Canis lupus familiaris: one gene and its partners. The protein of the gene in region 3 purifies or fractionates together with the protein of the main gene of each other region. This does not show direct contact. Links are inferred from orthologs where the notes say so. Each region holds a gene or a part of one and is shown on either strand. Other genes may lie near its edges.

Region 1 (3,646 bases), on a different chromosome or scaffold from region 3:
AGGAATTGTATCTGAAGAGCATGTGGTTAGAAGTTTCCCATGAGTAACACAGTATATCTAAGTTGGAACTTTTCACATTAGAGGGAAGTTTTTAGGCATGGAAACATAATATTAGGAATAAATATCAATATCCTAAAGGAGGAGGATACAACGTAATGCCTATCAAAAAACAAAAAATGACCAGGGGAAACTTCTTATGCCTTCTTTCACCATGAAACTCTTGCAAATGGAAATATTCTACAATAAAAACACAGATATCTGTCCTATCAACCTGTAGCCTTGTCATCTGACACCACTTACCTGCTCTAGTACATACGCTGCACCAGAATCAATTGCTCCACCCAGCTCACGATATTGACCAGAATACCTGATGTATCCCCAAGTAAGAAGTGCTATTAACAGCAGTCCAACCATACAATTGAACAGCTGGGCCACAATCTCAAGACCAACAAAGCCAGTGAGGCCTGAGGCTATGTACAAGATCACAATGCCTGTAAAAAGCACTGCAGGGGTTCGGAAGGTGCTGAAGACATTCTTGCTGCCATTGTGCTTGCAGAAGTTCTCATAGAGCTCCTTGATCTCCTCCTCTAGTTCCTGCTGGTAACGAAGGCTAAAATCCTTCCCACCCATCTTCTTGGTCTTCTTAAAATGGTCCAGAGCAAGCTGTTTGAATTCACCGTGCTTCTCCTCTAGAATGTCTGGGGACAAATAAGGTTTCTCTCCCCCACAAACCTAAAAAGAATAAAGACATAACATACTGAAGATCTCTTTGAAAACAAGTGCCCAATAAAACAAGTGAAAACACTGAAAAAGTCCAAATATTTAAGATATTAGAAATTAACTTTAAAATGATGACCAAGACCAATAAAGTCTGAGTTTACTTCCTCTGAAAAGTGCACCGAAATAAGGAGGGTGGCATTAACTGCATTGGAAGAAAGCCTTACTTAGCAACGGAAAGAACCAGAAGACCCCAATTACCAGGGGGGGCTGAACACAGTTTTGTTGTCTCGTCATCTTCAGATTCATTAAACAAGGTCAGTCTGGGCTTCTGCCGTAAGCCACAGGCCCACATTATAGCTACATCAGAATAAAACACACGCCTGGCATACCTCTTCCATGTTGTTGTAATAAATGTCTTTGGCGGAGGCTGCAGCTGCTAAATTGTTAGCTTCAGCGGTGGCCTTATAATAAGAAAAGAAAGCATAAACTCTGAATCCCTTCTCTTTAACATTCTTCCACAAATAACCAAGTGCCAATTCCCTCTCACCCTACTCCCATTCTTCCTTTTTTAGGATCCTTCTGCCATTTTTTAGGTTTCCATATAGCCCAATGTATGAGATAAAATATTCCTTTTTCGCCAAATTTTCTGCCCAAAAAAAAAAAAAAAAGTTCTGATACATAAGTCTTTATTATAAATTAAATCTCTGGAAGTATCATTCCCTTTGCTTTAATTTTAAGTGTTGAAAAAAAAATAATTTTAAGTGTTAAGAAATAGACATGGGTCAAAAAAAAGAGAAAACATTTTATATGCATTTTAAACTCTAGCTTCCTTTGTGAAAATGCTTTGCTACTAAAGAAATAAATATCTGGCAGTAAACGGCTTTATGTTTTGCACATAAAAGTCAGAAATTGGGCAGCCTGGATGACTCAGCGGTTTAGCGCCGCCTTCAGCCCAGAGCATGATCCTGGAGACCCATGATCAAATCCCATGTCAAGTTCCCTGTGTGGAACCTGCTTCTCCCTCTGCCTATGTCTCTGCCCCGCACCCCCCTCTGTGTATCTCATGAATAAATAAATACAATCTTTAAAAAAAAAAAGAAAGTCAGAAATTATGTTTTATCAAAATGACATCTTGAAAATAGCAAAATGTTGAAAATAAAAGTCATTGAAAATAAAAAACCTGACCAGTAAGTAGTAAATAAGTATGTCAGGACATGTTCTACTAAAGTAGACAGCAGATAACAGGGAAATAATTTGCTTAAGATAACTGGGCCTGGGGAAGCCCGGGTGGCTCAGCAGTTTAGCGCCATCTTCAGCCCAGGGTGTGATCCTGGAGACCCTGGATCAAGTCCCATGTCAGGCTCCCTACATGGAGCCTACTTCTCCCTCTGCTTGTGCCTGTCTCTCATGAATAAATAAACAAAAATTAAAAAAAAAAAATATATATATATATATAACTGGGCCTGTTCTATCCACAGTATGTTTGGTGGGATATAGTCCCAGTGAGGAGCCCTTCTGCTTTAACTCTGTATTTAACACCCAGAAGGCAGTAACAATGGTGAAAAATGTACTAAAAATTAACACACTTCAGCATTAACAGGCAGGGAGAGCAACAGCATTCTCCTTTTTTTTTTCTTTTTTAAAGATTAATCTATTTTTTTTTTGAGAGAGAGAGAGAGAGCGTGTGCATGAGTGGGGGGAGGGGCAGAGGAAGAGGGAGAGGGAGAATTCTCAAGTAGACCACCCCGCTGAGTGCAGAGCCCTACTAGGGGATCAATCTCAGGACCATGAGATCATGACCTAAGCCAAAATCAAGGGTCAGATGCCTGACTGAGCCACTCAGGTACCCTGCATTCCCTTCTTAAAGGATGCTGCTGCTTGTGCATGGGTCAGCAAGTAATCAAACAGTATCATTTAGGATGTCAAAGAATTGCTTACCTGAAGCATGGATTTGGGATGAGGCAGATCTTCTCCTTGATAAATTTTAATATATGCCTTATAATAGAAACAAAAACACTCATGAAAAATGTGATTCTGTCACATTTAATCATACTTTAAGTTACAGAAAGTAATATACAACTGCATTTTCCTAAAGACCTAGATCAACACCCAGGAATTAGCAAAAACACAACACACCTTTGAGTGCATGTTAGCATTTTTAGTTAACTAAATATGTTCTCAAGCAGCACGAGACTACCAAGGCTAGGAGTCCCACCAGATTCCCCATGCACACTGGCCTCACCACTACCTGTGGGCACAGTGACCATCCGCCTTGAGGTAGTCGTGTCACATCTAGGTGCCGTCTCCTCCTACTCACAGCAACTTCCTAACCACCTCCTGTCCACACCATCTTCCTTGAGGAACAATCTTCCTTTAGCCACAGTAATTACTCCTCTAAGAAAGTGCAAAGAACATCCATTTGGTTCTTAGACCGATACTGCCACCCAGTGGCCCACTCCTGGAAGGACACTGAAGGCTCTGAAAATGCCTCTCAATATCTCCCCCATGAAAATCATCCCTAAGCTTTAAAATAGTAAAATTCAAGTTAGTTTACAACCTAGATCAGTTTTACCAAAAGTCAAATATTCTGACAATTAAAATCCATATTTACCTTAAAATACTCTAGTAGCCCCCGACAGGTGACTTTGGAGCCATTGATCTCCTTCTCCATTAAGTTAGCTGGGTTTAATACAAATGGTATCAGGGTTTGAAGCTGCTCTTTGAATTCACTGGCAATATCTGTTCACAAGACCATGAAGAAGAAAACAGTCAGCTAGACAGACTTGTTCAACCAAGCGGAGTATAAAATGTTTCAACATCTGCCAGTTCAAAGTGAGGGGAGGGAAGGTCCCAACTGTGTCTGGCACCTTCTGCCGCCCATGACCTCTGTCTGCACGTATCTTTACTGTCTCCTCCCTTCTGTCCT
Region 2 (3,646 bases), about 33 Mb from region 3:
CCACCAGTGTGTGAGCTACTCCCTACCCCACCCCCACTTTTTTTTTTTCTGAAATAACTTCAAACTTACAGTAAAGTTGCAATCACGTATGAAGAACTCTTGTATACTTTTTACCCAGATGGACCCGGTGTTAACATTCACTATATTTGCTTTATGGTGTGTGTGTGTGTGTGTGTGTGTATCTTTTAACTATTTGAGAATAAGTTACAGCTACGATGCCCCTTTGCCCTTAAATACTTTAGTGTGTATCTCCTAAGAACAAGGACATTCTGTTGCCTAATTACAGAGCAGTGATCAAATCAAGAAAGTAACATTGAGGGGCGCCTGGGTGGCTCAGCGATTGAGCGTCTGCCTTTGGCTCAGGGCGTGATCCCGGAGTCCTGGGATCAAGTCCCACATCAGGCTTCCTGCGTAGAGTCTGCTTCTCTCTCTACCTATGTGTCTGCCTCTCTCTCTGTGTCTCTCATGAATAAATAAATAAAATAAAATAAAAAAGAAAGTAACATTGATGCAATGTTCTTATCTAATCCATGGGCCTTAATTCAGATTTCACCAGTTGTCTCACTGTTGCCTTTTATAGGGGCACCTGGCTGGCTCAGTCGGTTGAGCATCCAACTCTCGATTTTGGCTCAGGTCACGGTCTCGGGGTCGTGAGACTGAGCCCCCAAGGGTCAGGCTCCTTGCTCAGCAGGGAATCTGCTGGAGATTATCTCCCTCTCCTTCTGCCCCTTGCCTGGTGCCCTCTTTCTCTGTCTCTCAAATATTAAATAAATCTTAAAAATATATATATATTGCCCTTTCTAACTATTTTATTTCTGGCCCAGGATTTAATCCAGAGCCACACATCACATTCCGGTGCTGTCTCTTTGGCCTCTCTATTGGTTTCCCAGGACTATAAAAGTCACCACAAACAAGCATAAAACAGCAGACATTATTCTCTCACAGTTCTGGAGGCCAGAAGTCTGAAATTAATGTGTTGGCAGGGCCATGCTCTCTGAAGTCTCGGGGAGGGTCCTTCTTGCCTCTTCCTGCTTCTGGTGGCTGTCAACAATTTTTAGCTTCCTTGGCTTGTGGCCACTCACTCCAGTCTTTGTCTCTGTCTTCATGTAGCCTCTGAGTCTTCTTTCTCTTATAGGACATTTGTCATGGGGCTTAGGGCCTGCCAGGATAATTCCAGGTGATCTCCTCTGAAGATTCTTGGTTTGGTTGCATCTTTATAAAGACCCTTTTTCCAAGCAAGGTCACATTCCCAGGATCTGGGTGGATATATCTTTTGGGAGCCACCACTCAACCAACCACAGCTTCCTTTAATCTGGACCAGTTCTCTGATCTTACTTTGTTTCTTGTGCCATTGACATTTTTGAGGAGTCTTGGCCAGTTATCCTGGAGAATGGGCCTCCCTGTTTCCTCAAGGTTAGAAGCAGATGAAAAGATCCTATTTCACAGATGGAGAAACAGCTCAGAGAGGCTAAGTGATTTGCCAAAGGACAAACACAGCTAGAAAGGACAAGTGACCAGTTGTCTTCCTTTGCAAGGGTGTTCTCTTCCAATATCCTGAGCAGTGAGCTATCTGGCCATGGGAGTCGGGTTTTCTGTTTTTTAAAAATCTAAACTGGAGCCTGGATGGCACAGTTGGTTGAGAATCCAACTCTTGGTTTCAGCTCAGATCAAGATCTTGGGGTTGTGGGATCGAGCCTGCGTGGGGCTCCATGCTCAGCACAGAGTCTCCTTGGAATTTTCTCTCCTCCCACTCCGCCCCTCCACCCCATACTCCCGTTCTCTCTCACTCTCTAGAATGAATAAATAATCTTTGGGGGAAAAAAAAGTCTACTTAAAAAAAATTAAAAATAAAACTCTAAGCCACCTCTTAGGGTCTTTGTGAGGTTGAGATGTGGGGGGCAGGGGGCTGACAAGGAGGAGCCTCTCAAGGTCACACAGCAGGGTGAGTGTGGGCCAGATGTTTAAGAGTGTTATTGGGGAAGCAAGTAGACTCAGGTTCAAACTGCAGCTCTCAGGACACCTGGGTGGCTCATCCGGATAAGCATCTGCCTTCAGCTCAGGTCATGATCCCAAGGTCCTGGGATCGAGTCCTGAGTCGGGCTGCTTGCTCAGTGGAAAGTCTACTTCTCTGCCCCTCCCCTGGCTCGTGCTCTCTCGCTCACTCATTCTCTCTCAAATAAATAAATAAAATCTTAAAAAAAAAAAATTGCAGCTCCCCACCTGCCAGCTGTGTGACTGTGGGCAAGTTGCTGAAGCTTTCTGAGCTGTTGCTCATCTGTAAAGTGGTGATGACAACCCTCTGAAGGTTTCATGAGATTAGCCCCTGCGTGGGGCTCATCATGGTGCTGAGTGGCAGACTCTCCGAGTTTCAGGGGACCTTGCAGATCACATGGTCTAGATCAGTTCAGAGAGGGAAGGGACTTACCCAGGATCACACAGCCAACAAGGAACAGAGCTCCCCACTGCCCAGTTCACTGCCTCAACTGTCCCTCGCTTCTGAAGGCAGAACTCCAGGGCTCAGGAGTTTGTCTAAATCGAGCTGGCACTTGACATCACTTAACAGGACCAGGGAAATTGACTAAAAGGGGGGAAGGAGAGAGGGAGCACAGATACACAGTGCTCAAGACTAAGCACAATTACTTGTGAACTTCACTCTGAGCTTCCCGGCAGCCAAAGTGAAAAGGGTTACATGCTCAGTTAGTTATGTAGCTTTCTTTGTCCTGGTTCCTCTGGGAAATAGAGCTTTTCCAGTGACTTAGGAATACAGTGATAGGTTTCATGTGCCTGATTTTTGTGACTTCTCCCAGCCGGCACCGAAATGGATGCTGGGGTTGGTTCCCTGGATGAAGATGGTGAGGAGAGGGTGCTCCTGGCAGAGGGGATAGCGTGACCAGGGGCCTGGAGGTGTGAACCGACTGGTGTGTTCGCCGGAAAGGCAGGTGGCAGGCTGCTCCCCGTGCCGACACTGACCTCATGGGTCTGTCCCTGTCATTTCAGTTGGGCCACGTGGTCCTCTCCCCAGTCTGGTTCCTCTATAACCTGCTCATGAAGCTGTTCCAGCGCTCGACCCCGGCCATCACCCTTGAGAGCCCGGACATCAAGTACCCACTGCGGCTCATCGACAAGGAGGTGAGTGCCGGACACCGTGGGGCCTGCAGGGTCTGGGCCCATGGGGGTTCCTCCCCCTCCCTCCCTGGCTGCATCACAGTATTTCCTGTCACCTACTGTGTGCTCAAGGCATGGGCCCCCCTCTGATGTAGGTCGTGTTGTCTGTCTACCTTACAGATGGGGAAATTGAAGCGATGTCCCTTTCTAAGGTTCCCAGTAAGCGGCCACAGGGTCTCGAGCCCAGATCTCTGACCACAGAGCCTGTTCTCCAAACCACGCTCTATCCCACAGAAGGCCAGAACAAGAGAGATCCCTCAGGACTTTTGGGTTGAAACACCCATTTAACAGATGGGAAAACAGAGGGCAAGAGAGTACCAGGGGAGCATTGGACATCACACTGTGGGTTAGGGGTGGAACCAAGACTCAGACCTACCCCCACCTTGATCCCGGGTGTTTCCCATCCCAGCACCTTTTCTTCAAGCTAGTGACTCGTCCCCACCGCCACAGTCATCTACTCAGAGCCAGGTGTTTGTTGGAC
Region 3 (4,116 bases):
CCAGTCACACTTAAAAGGCTCAATAGCCACAAGTGGCCTGATGACTAATATATTGGACAGTGAGGTCCTAGACTGTGAGCTATCTGAAAGCAAGTTATCTCTGTCTCCAGGGCCTCCAGAATAGGAATGCAGTGAATATTTTTGTAAGGTATACCAGAAACATAAAAGGGGTTCTCTAAACTTTTGCATGCTGATACTTTTATGTTTTTTCGACCACTTTCCTTTAAACTTCCTTTTCAGTCTTGGAAAAAGTGGAACGGGGGAGATTATGCTCTTTCCAGCCTATCAAACAAATGAATACCGGGCTTCCTGACTCCCAGAAGGCCTGAATCATCTTAAATGTTGACTCATGAGCCTAAGGTGACTGAAATGTAATGTGAATCAAATTTGCCTTCCAAGGCATCATTATGTTTCCACTTTCCTCCTCTTTCTCTCTCTCTCTTTGGGTGACTCATCCTTCTACCACGTACGAGTCCAGCAGCAGGCAGATCCCCAAACCCTCCTGGATGAGCAGACTTTGAAATGGGCCCAGTCCTCCAGACGGTCCAAGCCCTGCTCTGTTTTGCCTACCTCATCCAGAGTCTGCAGTTTGGACAGAGAACGACCTTAAAGCTCTCCAAAAAAAATGAAAATAAAAAAAAAAAATAAATTTTTTTTCTTTTTAAGGTGGTGAAAGTAGTAGTAACGAGGTGGTCCAGTCATTTAAGCTTTAAAAAAATAATCTTTTAATTTCAAAATCTTTTAATATTTAGCGTACACTCAAATCCTTAGGGCCTACACTTCATAGTACCTTTCAACCACTCTGGGTTTTTTCCTTTCCTGGGAGGAAAGTTACCACCCCCAATCCCCCAGGATAACGCCCTTCCGGGGGCGCGGGCCAGGAACCCGCAAGTCCTGCGGCAGGTCGCCCGCCCCCGCGCAAGCCCACGCGGCACCCGAGCCGCCCGCTGCCCTCGGGCTCTGGGCAAAGCCGCGACCCCCGCCCACCCCGCATCTGACCCAAGGTGCAGGGTGGGGCTCTCAGCTCCAAGCCCCGCCCACCGGACTCACCCCAGCCGGTAGGAGAGGGGAAGTCCAAATGGCCCCACCCACTTTTCTCTTTCCGTCTCTCCATTGGGCCGGATGGTTGCCCGTCATCTCTATCCCGTAGGCGATTGGCTCCCTCCCTCCCGCGCCAGTCCCTGCCTCTCCCCGCGCGGGGAGGGTAAGTCACGCCAAACGGGGCGGAGAATCGGCTGGCCTCTCTCCTTCGCTCGCCTGGGCGGTGGCGGCAACTGGGGACGGGGCGGGTGGCGCATCACGGGCGCAGAGGCAGGAGGAGCAGTCTCATTGTTCCGGGAGCCGTCGCCACTGCAGGTCTCCGGGCTCTCTCGGCCCGGCCCCTGTCAGTCCTCCCCAACCCCCACAACCGCCCGCGGCCCCGGGGAGCAGCGTCCCGTGGAGACGAGCCGCTGCAGCAGCATCTCCGACCCGCCGGCCATGGAAGACATGGACCAGTCGCCTCTGGTCTCCTCGTCCTCGGACAGCCCGCCCCGGCCTCAGCCCCCGTTCAAGTACCAGTTCGTGAGGGACCCCGAGGACGAGGAGGAAGACGAGGAGGAGGAAGACGAGGAGGACGAGGACGAGGACTTGGAGGAGCTGGAGGTGCTGGAGAGGAAGCCCGCCGCCGGGCTGTCCGCGGCCCCGGTGCCCCCCGCCGCCGCCGCCGTCCCCGGCGCGCCCCTGCTGGACTTCGGCAGTGACTTCGTGCCCCCCGCGCCCCGCGGGCCGCTGCCGACCGCGCCCCCCGCCGCCCCGGAGCGGCCGCCGTCTTGGGACCCGAGCCCCACGTCGCCCGCGGGGCCCGCGCCCTCCCTGCCCTCCGCTGCCGCAGCCTCGCCCTCCAAGCTCCCCGAGGACGATGAGCCTCCGGCCCGGCCTCCCCCTCCTCCCCCGGCCGGCGTGAGCCCCCAGGCCGAGCCCGCGTGGACGCCCCCGGCCCCGGCCCCCGCCGCGCCCCCCTCCACGCCGGCCGCGCCCAAGCGCAGAGGCTCCTCAGGCTCAGTGGGTGAGTGCCGCGCCCTCCGCCCCGCGCAGCCCCGCGCTCCCCTCCGTCTTTTGTGTGCACCCCCCGCTGCCTCGGGCGGAGCCCCCTTCCCCGCCCCGAGGGGCTTTGTCCGTGGACCTCCGGGCGAAGGCGCCCCCCCTGGCAGGAGCCGTCAGGAGCAGGGTGGGGCGGCCGCGGAAACCCGGGCTTGTTCTTTATTGTCTGTCTCGGAGTCGGGGAGCACGTGCACCCCGCCTGCTCCCGGCCTCCTCCCTCTGGTCCCTATCCTGCTGCGTCCCGGAAGTTAGGCACCCGCCCGTACCGGGAGCTCGGTTGGCCTCGAGGAGCTAGCGTTGTGGATACGGGGGGCTGGCCGGGCTCCCGGGTGAGGATGGAAAGGCCTTGGCGCCCGTAATCTTTTGTCTGCCAGTCTGGGTTGCTCCCAGGGAAAAGGCGCAGTTCTGCGGCTGGTCCGTCTGGCAGCCGTGAGCCCTGCGCTGCACCCCCACCCCCGCTCACCTTCTCCCTGGCCTGGGTGTCACCCCCCACCCCCACCCCCCCGCAGCGCCTCATTCCCCTCCCTCTCCACTCGCGCTGGCGGGGAGCTGGCCCAGTGGAAAACATGCACCCTGACCCAGCCGCCGCGACGGGAGAGCGCCTCCAGTGGTGTGGCGCGTGCGGATTTGGGAAGGCGAGAGTTCTGGCAAAGTCCTGCCACCGCCCAGTCTCCTCGGGCTGTGATGTGGCGACTCCCCAGCTAAACCGCGCCGGGGAAGTGGGATCTGAGCATCCGCGGTCCGAGGAGGCGCAGTTCTCCCACCGGGTCCTGGCTGCTGAGCCAGAGGATTTGCTGCCAGGGTGGTTTGGGCTCTTGAATCGGAGAGGAAAAGAGGCAAAATGGTTGACATTCTTAGGGAAGGGAAACCTGTGGGGTTTGTTTGTTTGTTTTCCTTTTTTCTTTTTTTTTTTTTTCTTTTTTTTCTTTTTGGCCGCGAATAGGCCAATTGACTTTGTGGCGGATTAGCCAGCCAGGAGACTTAATGTTTTGAGAAAGATTATTTTTTTTTCACGTAGCGGTTAGAGATACTCTTTCTTAGTAGTTACATGTTTTAGGTCAAATCTGCAATAGTAGTCTGTAAACAGTTTCCAAATTTTTTTTTTTTTATTCGCTTTAGTACTTGCATGTATGTATATATTTAAAGGAACATTGTTTCCTTACCCTTTTCCTTTTTGGGAAGTTGTTTATTTTGGAAGAGAATAAAATCAAATTTGTTAGAGATGGAGAATCTTACAAGTTATGAGTTTATTAGCTTAAGTCTTGTTATTTTGGGGGGCAGAAAGTGTCCTACCAGCAAGCAGTAGGACCTCTTTTTATGTATAAAAGAGCAAGAATCTGGTAGTGTGACTGCCTGCTGAGAGATCTTTATAGCTTTCCTTGTAGGATTTTACAAATGGTTCATTTTCCAGGAGAAAATGAAATTTTTTTCAGTTCATTCCTCCACAATGGGGAAGTAAGCCAATTGTGATGTTTCTGAATAACGTTTTGATAATGACATACCCCAAAGCGTTACTCAAAACACTTTACACAAGTAACTCAAAACACGTTACACAAAATCATTACACTAAAGATATTAGAAGATGAAGAGCAACTCAGTGTTTCATTTTCTGAATTAAGTGTGTAAGAGAAACTAAGGTGAGGTAGAAAAATAAAAAGTGATAAATCTGCAAATGGAAAATCTAATGATTAACAAAGGAATACTGATTTGTCTCATCTTGTATTCCAGCATGGGGACAAAGAGGAATTCTGATCTTTGAACATTAGGGATTCAGGAGGTGACATTCTCTTGGAATTTTGACTTGTGGAATACTAAGTTTGGAAGACAAAGGAGAGAATATTGCTTACTCAGGGACTCTTATCTCTATAAAGTTCCCTAATTCTGTATTGATGATAGCTATTTGGAAACCTAAGTGCTTTAGTAAATCACTGAACATCCATGATTATAGTCATGGATAGTTAAGCCATCTCTGTGAGTCTCGGGTTCTTAGCAGTTTGTTCATTCATTCAATTGATGATTGATTGATTACCTACA

What was found. The genes of interacting proteins can lie anywhere in the genome.
Region 1: the proteins of RTN4 (region 3) and ATL3 purify together in Homo sapiens (affinity purification with mass spectrometry; 4 studies listed by BioGRID and IntAct, counting the BioPlex papers as one, with this or other methods). This does not show direct contact. The link is inferred for Canis lupus familiaris from reciprocal best matches to the Homo sapiens genes RTN4 and ATL3.
Region 2: the proteins of RTN4 (region 3) and CYB5R3 purify together in Homo sapiens (affinity purification with mass spectrometry; 3 studies listed by BioGRID and IntAct, counting the BioPlex papers as one, with this or other methods). This does not show direct contact. The link is inferred for Canis lupus familiaris from reciprocal best matches to the Homo sapiens genes RTN4 and CYB5R3.

The regions. Positions count from the first base shown.
Region 1 is NC_049239.1:53,863,789-53,867,434, reverse strand, and holds part of ATL3 (atlastin-3), read right to left. Parts: intron 3,460-3,646; coding exon 3,332-3,459; intron 2,716-3,331; coding exon 2,659-2,715; intron 1,182-2,658; coding exon 1,110-1,181; intron 733-1,109; coding exon 301-732; intron 1-300. UniProt on the Homo sapiens protein: Atlastin-3 (ATL3) is a membrane-anchored GTPase that mediates the GTP-dependent fusion of endoplasmic reticulum (ER) membranes, maintaining the continuous ER network. It facilitates the formation of three-way junctions where ER tubules intersect.
Region 2 is NC_049231.1:23,783,853-23,787,498, forward strand, and holds part of CYB5R3 (NADH-cytochrome b5 reductase 3), read left to right. Parts: intron 1-2,997; coding exon 2,998-3,129; intron 3,130-3,646. UniProt on the Homo sapiens protein: Catalyzes the reduction of two molecules of cytochrome b5 using NADH as the electron donor.
Region 3 is NC_049231.1:57,225,249-57,229,364, reverse strand, and holds the start of RTN4 (reticulon-4), read left to right. Parts: upstream 1-1,219; 5' UTR 1,220-1,479; coding exon 1,480-2,047; intron 2,048-4,116. UniProt on the Homo sapiens protein: Required to induce the formation and stabilization of endoplasmic reticulum (ER) tubules. They regulate membrane morphogenesis in the ER by promoting tubular ER production.